Linked DNA regions of Arabidopsis thaliana. The protein of the gene in region 3 interacts with the protein of the main gene of each other region in a pairwise test. Each region holds a gene or a part of one and is shown on either strand. Other genes may lie near its edges.

Region 1 (5,615 bases), on a different chromosome or scaffold from region 3:
GAATATCAAAGAGGAGAAAAAGAAGGAATCAGCCGGTGAGGCAGTCTTCCCATGTGTCCTTCAGATTTTACCTAACTGTGTGTTCAATAAGAGAGACCCAATAATCCTTGGAGTTAAGGTCCACGACGGTATACTTAAGGTATCCTATTCTTACTCTGCTATATTCTCGGTAACTTGCTCACATGTCCAAGGATTCTCAATCCTTTTAACATTCGTCTTGTTTGTTTTAGATCGGAACCCCCATTTGCGTCCCGGGCAGAGAGTTCACAGATATTGGCCGCATTGCCTCTATTGAGAACAACCACAAGCCTGTTGACTATGCAGAGAAGGGCGACGAGGTGGCGATTAAGGTAATAAGGGGATCATTCCCTTCAACAACCTTTGTATAGAGAAAGAGAGAGAGAGACAAAAGTTGTTGAGGTTTCAACTTGATGCTTTTCTCTGGTTGTATAACAGATTGTTGCTTCAAATCGCGAAGAACAGAAGATGTTTGGAAGGCATTTTGACATGGAAGATGAGCTTGTGAGTCACATTTCGAGGAGATCTATCGACATACTCAAAGCTGACTACATGGTAAGTCAAGGATAAGATAAGTTGTTTCCCATCTACGTTTTCTTTGACTCATTATTCTGACCCAAAACAAATGCTCGAAATTAAAACCAATAACAATTGCAGAAAGAAATGTCGACAGAGAAATGGAAGCTCCTATTGAAACTGAAGAGAATCTTCAAGATTCCCTGAACAGTCAAATGTCTACTCTAGAGCTTAAAACACTCGCGGGCCTTGTTGTTACGTCGTGTCTGCTGCATAACGAAGGGATTTATCTTCCTGATTCGTTTTTTTAATAACTATATTAGGCTGAAATTTGTAACCCTGTTAATTAATTTAGCCAATATCAAGAAAACTCTTAATAGGTAATACTGAAATTATATAATCTTATTGAAATTCTAAATTCTCATATAAAGCATGTTATTTCGTTAAAGAGAGTTTGTTACAGACTCTGACTTATATAGAGGCCTCTTGAACCCGGTCTACACACTAAACCTTAATTAGGGTTAACTCAACCGAGCTACAATCATCATATACAGTATATTATTAGTATATATCTTCAAATAATAACCGGGAAGAAAATGTGATGCAAAATTTAAATAATGATGACTAAAGTAGCAAGATGAATTGGTGCACACAAAAAGAAAAGTAGCTAGATGATAAAAAAAAAAAGTTATAGCTAAGCCCAGGCTGTGATTTGCTCTACTATTTTCAAATTATACAAAACTGAAAGCAATACAAAATGGAAAGTAAATGAAGTGGAGACTAGTTTTTTTTTGTTCTTGTTTTTTTCCCAATTTAATCATTTTTATTTACTCACTAAATAAGTAATTAAAAATTAAGGAGAGATGGGTTGGTTATATTATTATATAATATCAACAAATATAAGAATATAATGTAGTTTTTATTACTTAAATTATCGAAATTTGTATAATCTTATTAAAAGTTAAATTATTAAAATTAAGGAGAGATGGGTTGGTTATATTATTATATAAAAATTTGTATAATTTTTGAGGAGCAACCATAGTCCAAGACCCCACCAAGGCTAAAATCACTCCGACGGCGATGGCAATAACTCTTTTTTTATCTACTCCTATAGCCATCGTTAGAGCCATCTCCCTTTACTTCATCTAGCCAAATAACTTATTTTGTGTTTTATGATCATATTTTAAAAAGTTGCATGTACCCATTACAATATAAACACCCAAAAAGTGATACTTCTTATAACTCAATAAATGTATCTAACAAAATTAGAACCTCTTTTTTGATATATTTTTTTCAAAAATATTAATTTAGAATCGTGATACAAGATTTAACACAAAATGTAATCAATGAAACGACATATAGTGTGGTCTCATAGATGTTAGTTACATGATATCTACTTTAATTAAGGTCACGATATTATTAACATGATAATTTTTCTTTTCTTTTTAATTAATTTAGCTTTGTCTATTGTTTTTTCCTAATTTTAAAAAGAAAAAGAAAAGTTGGTTGCATTCTTTTCCTAACGCCGTCTATTGTTCTTCGTCCTCGCTCGTCGTCGCGTTCTCTCTCTCAAACTCTCAGGTAAGCTTCTTCAGTTTCCCACTTTCCCTCTTACACCAATATCCAATTTTGTGTGTTTGCAAATAAATATGTGTTAAGTAATGTGGTTTCGTTTCTAGCTGCAAGTTTCTTCCTTTCCAAAGGTTTGTGTCGATCTTAAAATCCCAGAGTTTGATAAACCTAATTCTCTCCTTCCGTTTTTAATTTTGTAGAAACTTGACCTATACTAGGCCCTGAGTCTGATTGCGAGAATCGCTGACAAAAAAATGCAATTTTCTTGTGATCCTGTAAGTGAAATTGGGTGAGATTTCGATTTGGTTTGTTTTGTTTGTGCGAATTTCGCCAATGATGTTTTTGTGTGAAGGATCAAGAAGGAGATGAGCTGCCACAATATGAACACATTTATCAAAATGACTTCTCTTATCGAAAGTAAGATCCTTTCTTTGATTGCTGGCTCGTGGCTTTCGGTTATCTTCTCAGTATGCGTTGTTGTTAAGTACACATTTGTTTAACGCTTCTATAGGCACAAGAAACAAAAGGAAGAAGATATATCTATCTGCGAATGCAAGTTTGATTTCGGAGACCCTGACAGTGCTTGTGGTGAGAGATGCCTCAATGTCATTACCAACACTGAATGTACTCCTGGTTACTGCCCCTGTGGTGTCTATTGCAAGAATCAGGTTAACAACTTGAAATCTTTGCTTCCACGTTTTCATGTAATTCTAGAATCTAAGATTTGCGTTAAAGCTTGGTGATGTTCTTACAAGTTCCTATTCAAACTAATGATAATTGAGTTAAATGAATGTTAATTAGTAGTTTTACATGCTTTGCCGGTTACAGAAGTTCCAAAAATGTGAATACGCCAAAACAAAGTTGATCAAGTGTGAAGGTCGTGGTTGGGGACTAGTGGCTCTTGAAGAGATAAAGGTGAGGACTCAAAATTTATTCTTGTGTCTTTATCATGTCTGATACTCTTTACCAAGATTTATGACAATTTCCGTCACACTTCGTTGATCTAATGCAAATGGGCAAATAACATGGCTGGTGTATTCTTTTTCTTAAGTAAATAGTCAATTGGGTTTGATTAAATGACTGGTTGTATTTGATGCTATGATTTAGGCGGGGCAATTTATAATGGAGTACTGTGGTGAAGTAATATCATGGAAAGAAGCAAAGAAGAGGGCTCAAACTTATGAAACTCATGGTGAGTAGAAACTTTACAGAGATGATGAGAGTGTTGTAATGCTATAGGTGATGTTAGGTGATGTGTTAATTATGTGTTACATGAGCAGGTGTCAAGGATGCATACATTATATCTCTCAATGCATCTGAGGCTATTGATGCCACTAAGAAGGGAAGCCTTGCTAGGTTTATAAATCATTCATGGTAAAACGAACAACTGGCTTTTTACATGCTTCAAAGAAATTCATATCTATAAAACGTTCCTTATCGTTTCTTTCTCTATTTTCCTGCAGTAGACCAAATTGTGAGACGAGGAAGTGGAATGTACTGGGAGAAGTTAGGGTTGGGATCTTTGCAAAAGAGAGCATCTCTCCCCGGACCGAATTGGCTTACGACTATAATTTTGAATGGTACGGTGGTGCCAAAGTGCGTTGTCTCTGTGGTGCGGTTGCATGCTCTGGATTTCTTGGAGCCAAGTCTCGTGGCTTTCAGGCAAGTCCTTACGTTATCATCCTCATAGTATTATTTGTCAAAAATTGGGAGGAATGAAATTAATCATACTGGTCTATACCTAACCTTATACCTTTCTATCATTTCAGGAGGATACATATGTATGGGAGGATGGTGACGATCGGTAATTTTCTTTTCACTTATTTTATGCGGCATAAAAATGGTCATGGATCTTGCGAGAAAGGAATGTTTTTCATCTTGGACTGGCGATATTTTAGCCCCTCTCTTTTCTTTGTCTCCAGGTATTCAGTTGATAAAATTCCAGTCTATGATTCTGCAGAGGACGAGCTTACATCTGAGCCTTCTAAGAATGGCGAGTCCAACACAAATGAAGAGAAAGAGAAAGATATCTCAACAGAGAACCATTTGGAGTCTACTGCTCTGAATATTCAACAGCAATCAGATTCAACTCCAACTCCTATGGAGGAAGATGTCGTCACGGAGACTGTTAAAACCGAAACATCTGAAGACATGAAGCTGCTCTCACAAAATTCACAAGAAGATTCATCGCCAAAGACTGCAATTGTATCACGGGTTCACGGTAACATTTCCAAGATCAAGTCCGAATCTCTTCCGAAGAAAAGAGGCAGGCCGTTTTCAGGCGGAAAAACAAAGAATGTCGCTCAGAAGCATGTTGACATAGCGAATGTGGTTCAGCTACTAGCAACCAAAGAAGCTCAAGATGAAGTTCTCAAATACGAGGTAAAACAGTTTTTCAAGCGTATAGGTACAAATTCAAAACCTTCTCAGTATCAGATGTGTTTGGTAAATTGTTGCTTGCAGGAGGTGAAGAAGGAAGCAGCAGTACGACTCTCGTCATTGTACGACGAGATAAGGCCGGCGATTGAGGAGCATGAAAGAGATAGCCAAGACAGTGTAGCAACAAGTGTGGCGGAGAAATGGATACAAGCAAGCTGTAATAAACTCAAGGCAGAGTTTGATCTTTACTCTAGTGTAATAAAGAACATCGCTTCCACTCCCATCAAACCACAAGACACAAAGACCAAAGTCGCGGAAGCAGGAAACGAAGACCATATTAAACTCTTGGAAGCCAAATGAGAATTAGCTCGGAAGGACACCTCTAATGGACAAAAAAATATCTTAAGAACTGGAAGCTAACTTGGTTTACTTTTCACGTTTGAAAATGTAATAAATATTTTTAAAATGAGAACATTTTGTTGAAATTTAAAATTTTAGTAATCAAATTTTTATTAATCAATTCTACCAAAAAAATAAAAATTAGTAATCAAAATAATTTAATAAAGACATTTTGAATGATAAAAAAAACTTTTTTAGTTAAAATTTTATATTTATGTAAAACATATTGATCGTAGAACATCGCTTAAGGATTTTATACTATGGGGGGATGTTGTGTCCAATTATTTTACACATATTGAATTTAACACTTAAAAACAAAAATATTATGTATATTTTAAAAATTAAAATATTTTGTGTAAAATATTACTTAAAACATATTGAACGTAGAACACCGTATAAGGACTTCATACTATGGACGGGATGTTGTGTCCAATTATTTTACACATATTAAACTTTAACACTTAAAAACAAAATATTATGTATATCTAAAAAGTTAAAATATTTTGTCTAAAATATTACTTTAAAAATAAAAATAAAAACCTTATATTTTAAATAGTTATAAAAATAATATAAATGTTAAAATTTAATATGTGCAAAACATATTGAACCTAGGACACCACTAAAGGACCTCATACTATGGACGGGATGTTGTGTCCAATTATTTTACACATATTAAACTTTAACAATTAAAACCAAAATATTATGTATATTAAAAAAAAAAATATTTGTCT
Region 2 (3,911 bases), on a different chromosome or scaffold from region 3:
GCAGAGACTTGAACGCTTATTGTTTCAAATGGAAAAAAAAAACTTTACTAACTACATTTACTTCAATGTAGAGCTGAGATTTGGAACCCTAATTTTAAGATGAGTACAGTTCTTCAAACCCCAGATTTCTCAGATAGTACGGTTTCCGTTGAGTGGCTTTCGACTTTTGTAGCAAAAACTTGAAAACAGAGGTTTCTCTCTGTTTCTATACTTGTTGCTTCAAATGGTAAAACCGTAAAAGACTACTTAGAACGACTTCGTTTTAAAAGAAGATTCGTGAAAGAACCAAGGCCCGCGAAAACCAATGGACCTAAATTATTTTGGTCCCATTCGAGATGGGGTTTTATAGTAGTCAGTGGAAGGCCTAGTGATTTCCTCCAAATCTATTTGCAACATATTGTTTGGTTCTCTTTCTTATTTTGATTTGTAAGTTTGTATACAAAAGTGGTGCCAACAACAAAACACAAACCCAAACCCATTTGTCATTTTACTATAATGTCTTTTGAGATTACTCCAACACAAAGGACGACCTTTGTCCGAACAATGTAAGTACTATTTGTATGAATCCGTTGGAGGACGTTGCCCTACTTACTGCAGGCAACAAAGCAACAAGATTTGTCTAGACGGCATAACTCAAGAGTTTGTTGCAAGAGAAAACAGAGAGATTTAATGAGACATGAACTCTATATAGAAAGTCTTAATTCAACATGAAAACATCTCTCACGCCCAAATCCTTAGTTATAAACCAAATCCTAAGATAGACATTTTACCATTAGTAACATAATAAAAACCACTCACAGCTAAGACACATAAGACTCACAAAAGCTTAGTGAAGAGATCATCCGCTGATAATCTTGACCTTGATGGTGTGAACCAGATTACCTCCAGTCCTCTTAAGCTCGCATATCATTTTGTCAGTCATCTTCATTTTGTTCCTTCTGATGAAACTACCAAATCCCTTGACAAAGATGCAACCATTCTTTTGAATCTTGATTGCTTTCTCCAATGCTCCCATTTCGTCCACGACTGTTATACGCTCCGGGAAGGTTAAGTCATAGTCCCTTATGACATGAGCCGGTATGTGCTGCATCAAGAAACAAACATCATAAAACAGATTGAGATATTCCTTATTAATTTATTCACATAAGAATCCATAACCAAAGATGTTAAATGGAGAGTGTGTAAAGATCTTAAATATTCAGGTTTTTTTTTCTCTTACCAATTGGCTCTTCTTCTTCGGATTGAGTGTCATAGTAAAGTACGGGTTCTCGTGATCATCCAGATACCGCCTTTCGTCATCCTCATCCTCAAGATCATCTTCATCCTCAAGACCATCATCATCCTTAGCATCATAACCATCCTCAGCCTCATCATCATCTTCATCCTCAAGACCATCACTATCCTTAGCATCATAACCATCCTCAGCCTCAACATCTACTTCATCCTCAAGACCATCATCATCCTCAGCAACATTATCATCCTCAACAGAATAATCATTATCAGAATCGTCAGAATCATCACTATTAAGAACGATAACATCATCACTAGCCTGAGATTCTTCTTCACAATCAGATCCCACTTTGATGATGTCCTTGCTTTGCTCTGAACTTCTCTTAAGCCTCTTACACGTAGTCTCATGGTCAAAGATAGAGAAATTAAAAAAATGAGAGCCATCAAACTCAAATGACAAGAGATCTCCACCGTTCAGGTTTTCGTCCCTTACAATCTTCTTCCAACCACTAACCATAACAAATCTCTCAACCTCACCACCACATTTCTTAAACCCTAATTTCCAAATGTTTCCAGAAATGCTTCTAACAGTTACAGTTTTAGGCAAAGACTTTGGTAAACAGCTGTTGAAAGAAATGGGTAGTACCTGAAAAGTTTCTACAAATTTCAAGCAACCAGAAAACAAAAAACAGAGTGAAGAGAAGTGTGTTTTATTACCAGATCATCACCGGATTCACTAGGAAGGTACGGTTTAAAGAACTTTGAAGTAAAACCATTAGAGTAATTTCCTGTTCCAAAATAAGAAAAGGAAGAACATCAATGTACAGAGCACATTACAAGGGAAGAATCAGGAACAGAGAAGTGAAAAACCTCTTGTGTTCATTGTCGTCAACTTCTTGTGCTCTTGGAAATACTCTGAACCCTAATTTTGATCGGAAATAAAAAGGTGAACAAAGTTTCTCCAGATCCAAGTTTTTCCAGATGTGATTTGATCTAAAGGTGTTGGCCTTTTGTAGCAAAAACTTGCAAAAACAGAGGGTTCTCTCTGTTTCGATGCTTTTTCCTTCAAATGGAAAACAAACCATTAATAGTACTCTTCTTATTCAAAAATAATTCGTTAAGCGGACCAAGGTATCGCTAAGGCCCAAACAAAAAACAAGAAATGGGCCTTAAGTTTGGTTCAATCTATATCGTGTAAATGACATTATCGTCCTTAAACAAAAGAACCACAGTAAAGAGTCGAGAAGGGTATATTAGAGAAAGAAGGACTTGTGACATCTCAATTCTTGAACAAGAAACTTGAAACTTGAAAGAAGAATGAGATAGTGTTAAGTGGCAGAGTTCCAAGTATCTTAGTATTATTCTCCTCCTATGCCAATGCTTTTCTTATGATCACATAGAGAGTAATAACATTCTTTTTACATGAACTCGCAGGTTTTAAACAGCCCTGATGTGTGAACCATTCATAATGATTTCTCCCAAAATCTATAGCTCTAGTATACATTATTATTGTAAGACTGTGTTGATCGTCTTTTGCACTTCATGTTTCAGACAAACAAACAAAATCAAGAAGTGTATAGAAAGCATCAACATCGATTATGTTCCGAGAAAACCAATAAGATTCATAAAACCAAGTACTCTACTCATATAAAAACTCTCAAGTAAAAATAGATAATGTCTTGGAGTTAACGCATAAAGCCTTATCAAGAGATCATCCTCTTATAACATGGACCTTGATTTCTCGAACAAGACCATCCATCTCCTTTTCTAACTCACAAATCACCTTGTCATTCAACTTCACATTATTCCTTCTGATTATACTACGGAATCCCTTGATTGTTTGACCCTTAACTTTCCTCTTCAATTTACCAAAGTTTTTCTCGAGTGGATCAATCAAATTGATGAACTCAGGGAAGTGTAAGCCATACTTCGTTATGACCTTAGTTGGTATGCGCAGCTGCATTACAAAGATAACATCATAAAACAGAAGTGGTACATTATTTTAATGAAAATGCAAAAAGACATGAGACTTTCTTCACATTTCTTACCATATTATATTTTATTTGCCGATGCTGGTTCACTGTAAAGAAAGGGTTCATGTGATTATCCAGATATTGTCTGTCATGCTCTCCAGAAGAACCTATCAAAATTTATACGCAAGAAAATAAAAAGACAGTGATGCTCTCAGTCTCAGTTAACTTCACAAGACAAAAGTTTCTATTATACCTTTCTTTTTTTTCTCTGTTTTGACTCCTCTCCATCTTTCTTTCTCAACATCAGCATGATCATCGTCACCATAATCTTGATCATCATCATCATCATCATCATCAATAACTATGATATCTTCACTAGATGTATCTTCCTCAACATAATCTTGAACATCATTAATATCATCATTATCAGCATCATCAAGAGCTGTAATATCTTCACTAGATGTATCTTCCTCATTATAATCTTGAACATCACTAATATCATCATCATCAAGAACTATGAAATTTTCACTAGATTTAACTTCTTCCCCATAATCTTGATCATCATTAAAACCATCATCATTGTCATCAAGAACCGTGATTTGCACTGAACTTCTAAGCCTTTTACACGTTGCACGACCATAGATACAGAAATTGAAACACCAAGAGCCATCAAACTCAAATTCTAAGAACTCTCCACCTTTCAAATCT
Region 3 (3,259 bases):
TATTTTGTTTCATTTGTAAATGTACTAGTGAGGGGAAATTTTGGAACGTTTCATAGATATTCAACTTTACCATAGATCATTTTGAAATGTCTATAAACGAAATTAATCACCTTTTTTATACTTACTTATATTTTTCTTAACTATATTTTTTCTAATAATCAAAATCGTTATAGGGGAAAATTCGTTGTATTGGCCTAGCTAGTTAAGAACATCGGTGGATGTTTTTCGAGTTTTTGGATATTTAAGTTGGTTAACACATTTCACTCCAGTAAACGGACCAATTAGAAAAAGCCACATATGAGTCTTTTTCACTCCAAAAATTCCTAAGATTAAGGATGTCTATTAACAATATTGGCATTTTTTATTTATTTTGAGCTTTTTTTTACGGACTCATACATTTAAAGCCCCTTAGAAAACCACCATTAGAGATGGTCTAAACGCTTTCTAGTCAAAGGGCACTGGTACCCATAGTCTAATATCTTTAAGATGAACAATTTACTTGGGTTTACAATCGATATATTTTCTTATTTTTGCATGCATAGGAAAAGAGATGTAATAATATTAGACAAAGATAAATCTAAAACCCGATCATTTTAATACGAGACTTGGTAAGTTTTGGAAACAAAAACGATAAAAAATGGTTTATTAATTTGATACGACAAAAACTACATTGTGATTCATCTAGCTGCGACGAGGATAGTCAAAACCACAACTACAACAGCTTGTACCAGTCTGATTATGATAGGTTATGAGACCACACCTAGAACAGCTTGTACTAGGAGTCCGAGTAAGAGAAGCCATCATTACCTCCACGGCAAGATTTGGGTAATTATCAACGAACAACTTGAACTCATCAAAGCTAGGAAACATAAGTTCATTTGTTTTAATATAACTAAGGGCTGCATCGTTGAGGACTTTGTCAAAAGGGATTTGTGCGAGCTCAAGAAGGTTAAGAGAATTCGTCGAATTCAGAGAAGATATAAGCTCAGATCTGCATAGCTCTCGTAGTCGGAGAATCTCGTATTTGTCAGCCGCACGATAGAGTGCCCGAGCATGTTGCTTCACTTTCGAAGAAAGCATAGAACCATCACTATATAGAAACTCAACAAAAGCTTCTAGCTCTTCTTGTTTCATCTCTAAGAGAGTGATTGTTCCCACCTGCTTAGCCGAAGTCTTGAACTCGTCTGATTCTAGCATCTTCTTCAAAACCGCCGATCTTGATGCCTATTCAAATCCCAAACATACTTGTTGAGAGAATCATTACAATAACCACACCAACCCAACAAAAAAAAACTTCACATAAAAGGAACACTCACTAAACATTAACATTTCTAAATTTAATTGATTCTTGAATAAGATGATGATATCAATAAAGAGAAGATGAAAAAAGAAGAGACCAGAATAACTTTTTGGGCAGAGATAATTGAACCATCATCACTATCCACTGCCTTGAGCCGTACGTCAACTTGCCAATTTTCTGCCAAGATCTTCGCAAGTCCCCAGAGAAATGGTCTTGGTTGGTTTGTGTTGCCATATCAATAATGTAACGTATATTTGAGGTTGTAAAGGATGGTGGATTATATAGAGAAGATAATGACAATTGAAAACGGTCAAAATAACTTTTTACTTTTCCTATCTGCTTCCAATTTTCAAGACTTTGGAAATGACTTTTTATATTTCCCATCTGCGTCCAATTTTCAAGATTTGGAAATGGATAAGACCTATCAAATATATATTAGTTTTTTTTTCTGGAATATTTGGCAAAAAACCTTGGTCTTTCAAAGTATTTATCCAAAATACCATTGGCGAATCGGATTAAAATTGAAATTGGGTCACAAAATTTCTGAAATCTTCAATTGATATGCACACCAACAATTACCATTTATCTCGCTTTCTCTAACTAAATTTGTTTTTGGGTACAATTTTTATAGATAATGAAATAAAGTATGACTATTTACTGCTAATGTAACAAACTAGATATTGACCTGCGGTACACTGCTGCTTGATTATTTTCGTTTTGAATTAATTTAATGTTTCAATTCAATATCATCTATATTTAAATAATGATCTTAGATATTCAATTTATCAAAACTCATTGTTTATATCTATTTACACTTAGTGATTATATTAGTATGTTTCTATATGGTTTTGTATAGTTCCGGAAGCATATATATTATACGCATCTATATACAAAGTGTGTATCTCCTAATTTTATACGTATCTAGAATGTGACCCGTGGTACACCAAGGGTTAAGTTTTTTGTTTATTTTAAATTTTTACAAAATGAAGAATTTGTTGTGTACAATGTCTATTGTTGTTTGTGTTGATTAATAATTTTTGATAAAGTTGTGTACGGTTTTTATTAAGTCATAAGTTTATGATATTAGTAAGTCTAATATTATTTTATCTTCTAGTATATGTCCCGTATACCCTATGTTTTATTCACAAATTTTTGTATTTTAAATTATATAATTTAAAATTTCTATATTTTTTAATTTTACCCTTAGAACATAGGTAATTTAATAATTTTTTATTACAATTATATATTTAGATGTGTTAAAGAAGATTAACATTTAGAGGTGTGAAAGAAGATTAACATTTAGAGGTGTGAAAGAAGATTAACTCTTATTTTGATATACTATAGTGTTGTTTTTTAAAAGACAAACAAAAAATCTCTCTCATCCAAACTCATCTCACCATATAAATCTGTCTCACATATAAACTCGTCCCATGGTAACTAAAACTTATTTCTTTTTTTCTTTTATTTTTAATAATATTTTTATTTAAAATATTCTGAGTTAGTTTAAAATTTTCAATCTAATGTTAATTAGTCGTAAAGTTTCCGTGATTATGTATTCTAATGTTATTTTGTATTTTATATGGTTTTCTTGAATTAGATTTGTTTTATATTAACATTATTATTTCTTAAATTTCTTTGCATCATTTTATTTATTAATTAATAACAAATACTCGAAAAAGTTATCTAACTGATGAATTGGAAACTAATTCTCTCCTATCCAAATTGGAAACCAAAATTCTCCTTCAGTTTGAAGAACATGATCTGATTATAATCGGTTCTACATGTCAATAGCTTCCGCTAATGGTCCAAGTTGAATATACTTTTGGGTCAATCGATGTGTAAGTGATTTTGATTCTTTGTTGATGTTTGTAAATATAGTTTCATTTTAAATATGAATCGTAACCCCATGGATATATTTAAACCGATTGACCATTCCGATTCTAAAACTAATTTATTTCC

The links.
Region 1: the proteins of AT2G05330 (region 3) and ASHH1 interact in a two-hybrid assay, tested with the Arabidopsis thaliana proteins (one large-scale study listed by BioGRID).
Region 2: the proteins of AT2G05330 (region 3) and AT5G60140 interact in a two-hybrid assay, tested with the Arabidopsis thaliana proteins (one large-scale study listed by BioGRID).

The regions. Positions count from the first base shown.
Region 1 is NC_003070.9:28,789,117-28,794,731, reverse strand, and holds ASHH1 (SET domain group 26), read left to right. Parts: upstream 1-2,012; 5' UTR 2,013-2,115; exon of another isoform or gene 2,116-2,306; 5' UTR 2,307-2,360; coding exon 2,361-2,381; intron 2,382-2,458; coding exon 2,459-2,523; intron 2,524-2,617; coding exon 2,618-2,774; intron 2,775-2,934; coding exon 2,935-3,021; intron 3,022-3,213; coding exon 3,214-3,298; intron 3,299-3,386; coding exon 3,387-3,480; intron 3,481-3,569; coding exon 3,570-3,768; intron 3,769-3,875; coding exon 3,876-3,910; intron 3,911-4,028; coding exon 4,029-4,845; 3' UTR 4,846-5,012; downstream 5,013-5,615. Other genes in the region: AT1G76720 (eukaryotic translation initiation factor 2 (eIF-2) family protein), read left to right, coding at 1-139, 231-350, 457-588. UniProt on the Arabidopsis thaliana protein: Histone methyltransferase involved in regulation of flowering time. Required for the expression of the SOC1/AGL20 gene. Required for histone H3 trimethylation on 'Lys-4' (H3K4me3) at the SOC1 locus.
Region 2 is NC_003076.8:24,213,239-24,217,149, forward strand, and holds AT5G60140 (AP2/B3-like transcriptional factor family protein), read right to left. Parts: upstream 2,279-3,911; 5' UTR 2,114-2,278; coding exon 2,101-2,113; intron 2,019-2,100; coding exon 1,948-2,018; intron 1,877-1,947; coding exon 1,220-1,876; intron 1,085-1,219; coding exon 839-1,084; 3' UTR 627-838; downstream 1-626. Other genes in the region: AT5G60142 (AP2/B3-like transcriptional factor family protein), read right to left, coding at 2,942-3,187, 3,279-3,370, 3,457-3,911.
Region 3 is NC_003071.7:1,937,937-1,941,195, forward strand, and holds AT2G05330 (BTB/POZ domain-containing protein), read right to left. Parts: upstream 1,535-3,259; coding exon 1,430-1,534; exon of another isoform or gene 1,398-1,429; intron 1,225-1,397; coding exon 682-1,224; 3' UTR 641-681; downstream 1-640. UniProt on the Arabidopsis thaliana protein: May act as a substrate-specific adapter of an E3 ubiquitin-protein ligase complex (CUL3-RBX1-BTB) which mediates the ubiquitination and subsequent proteasomal degradation of target proteins.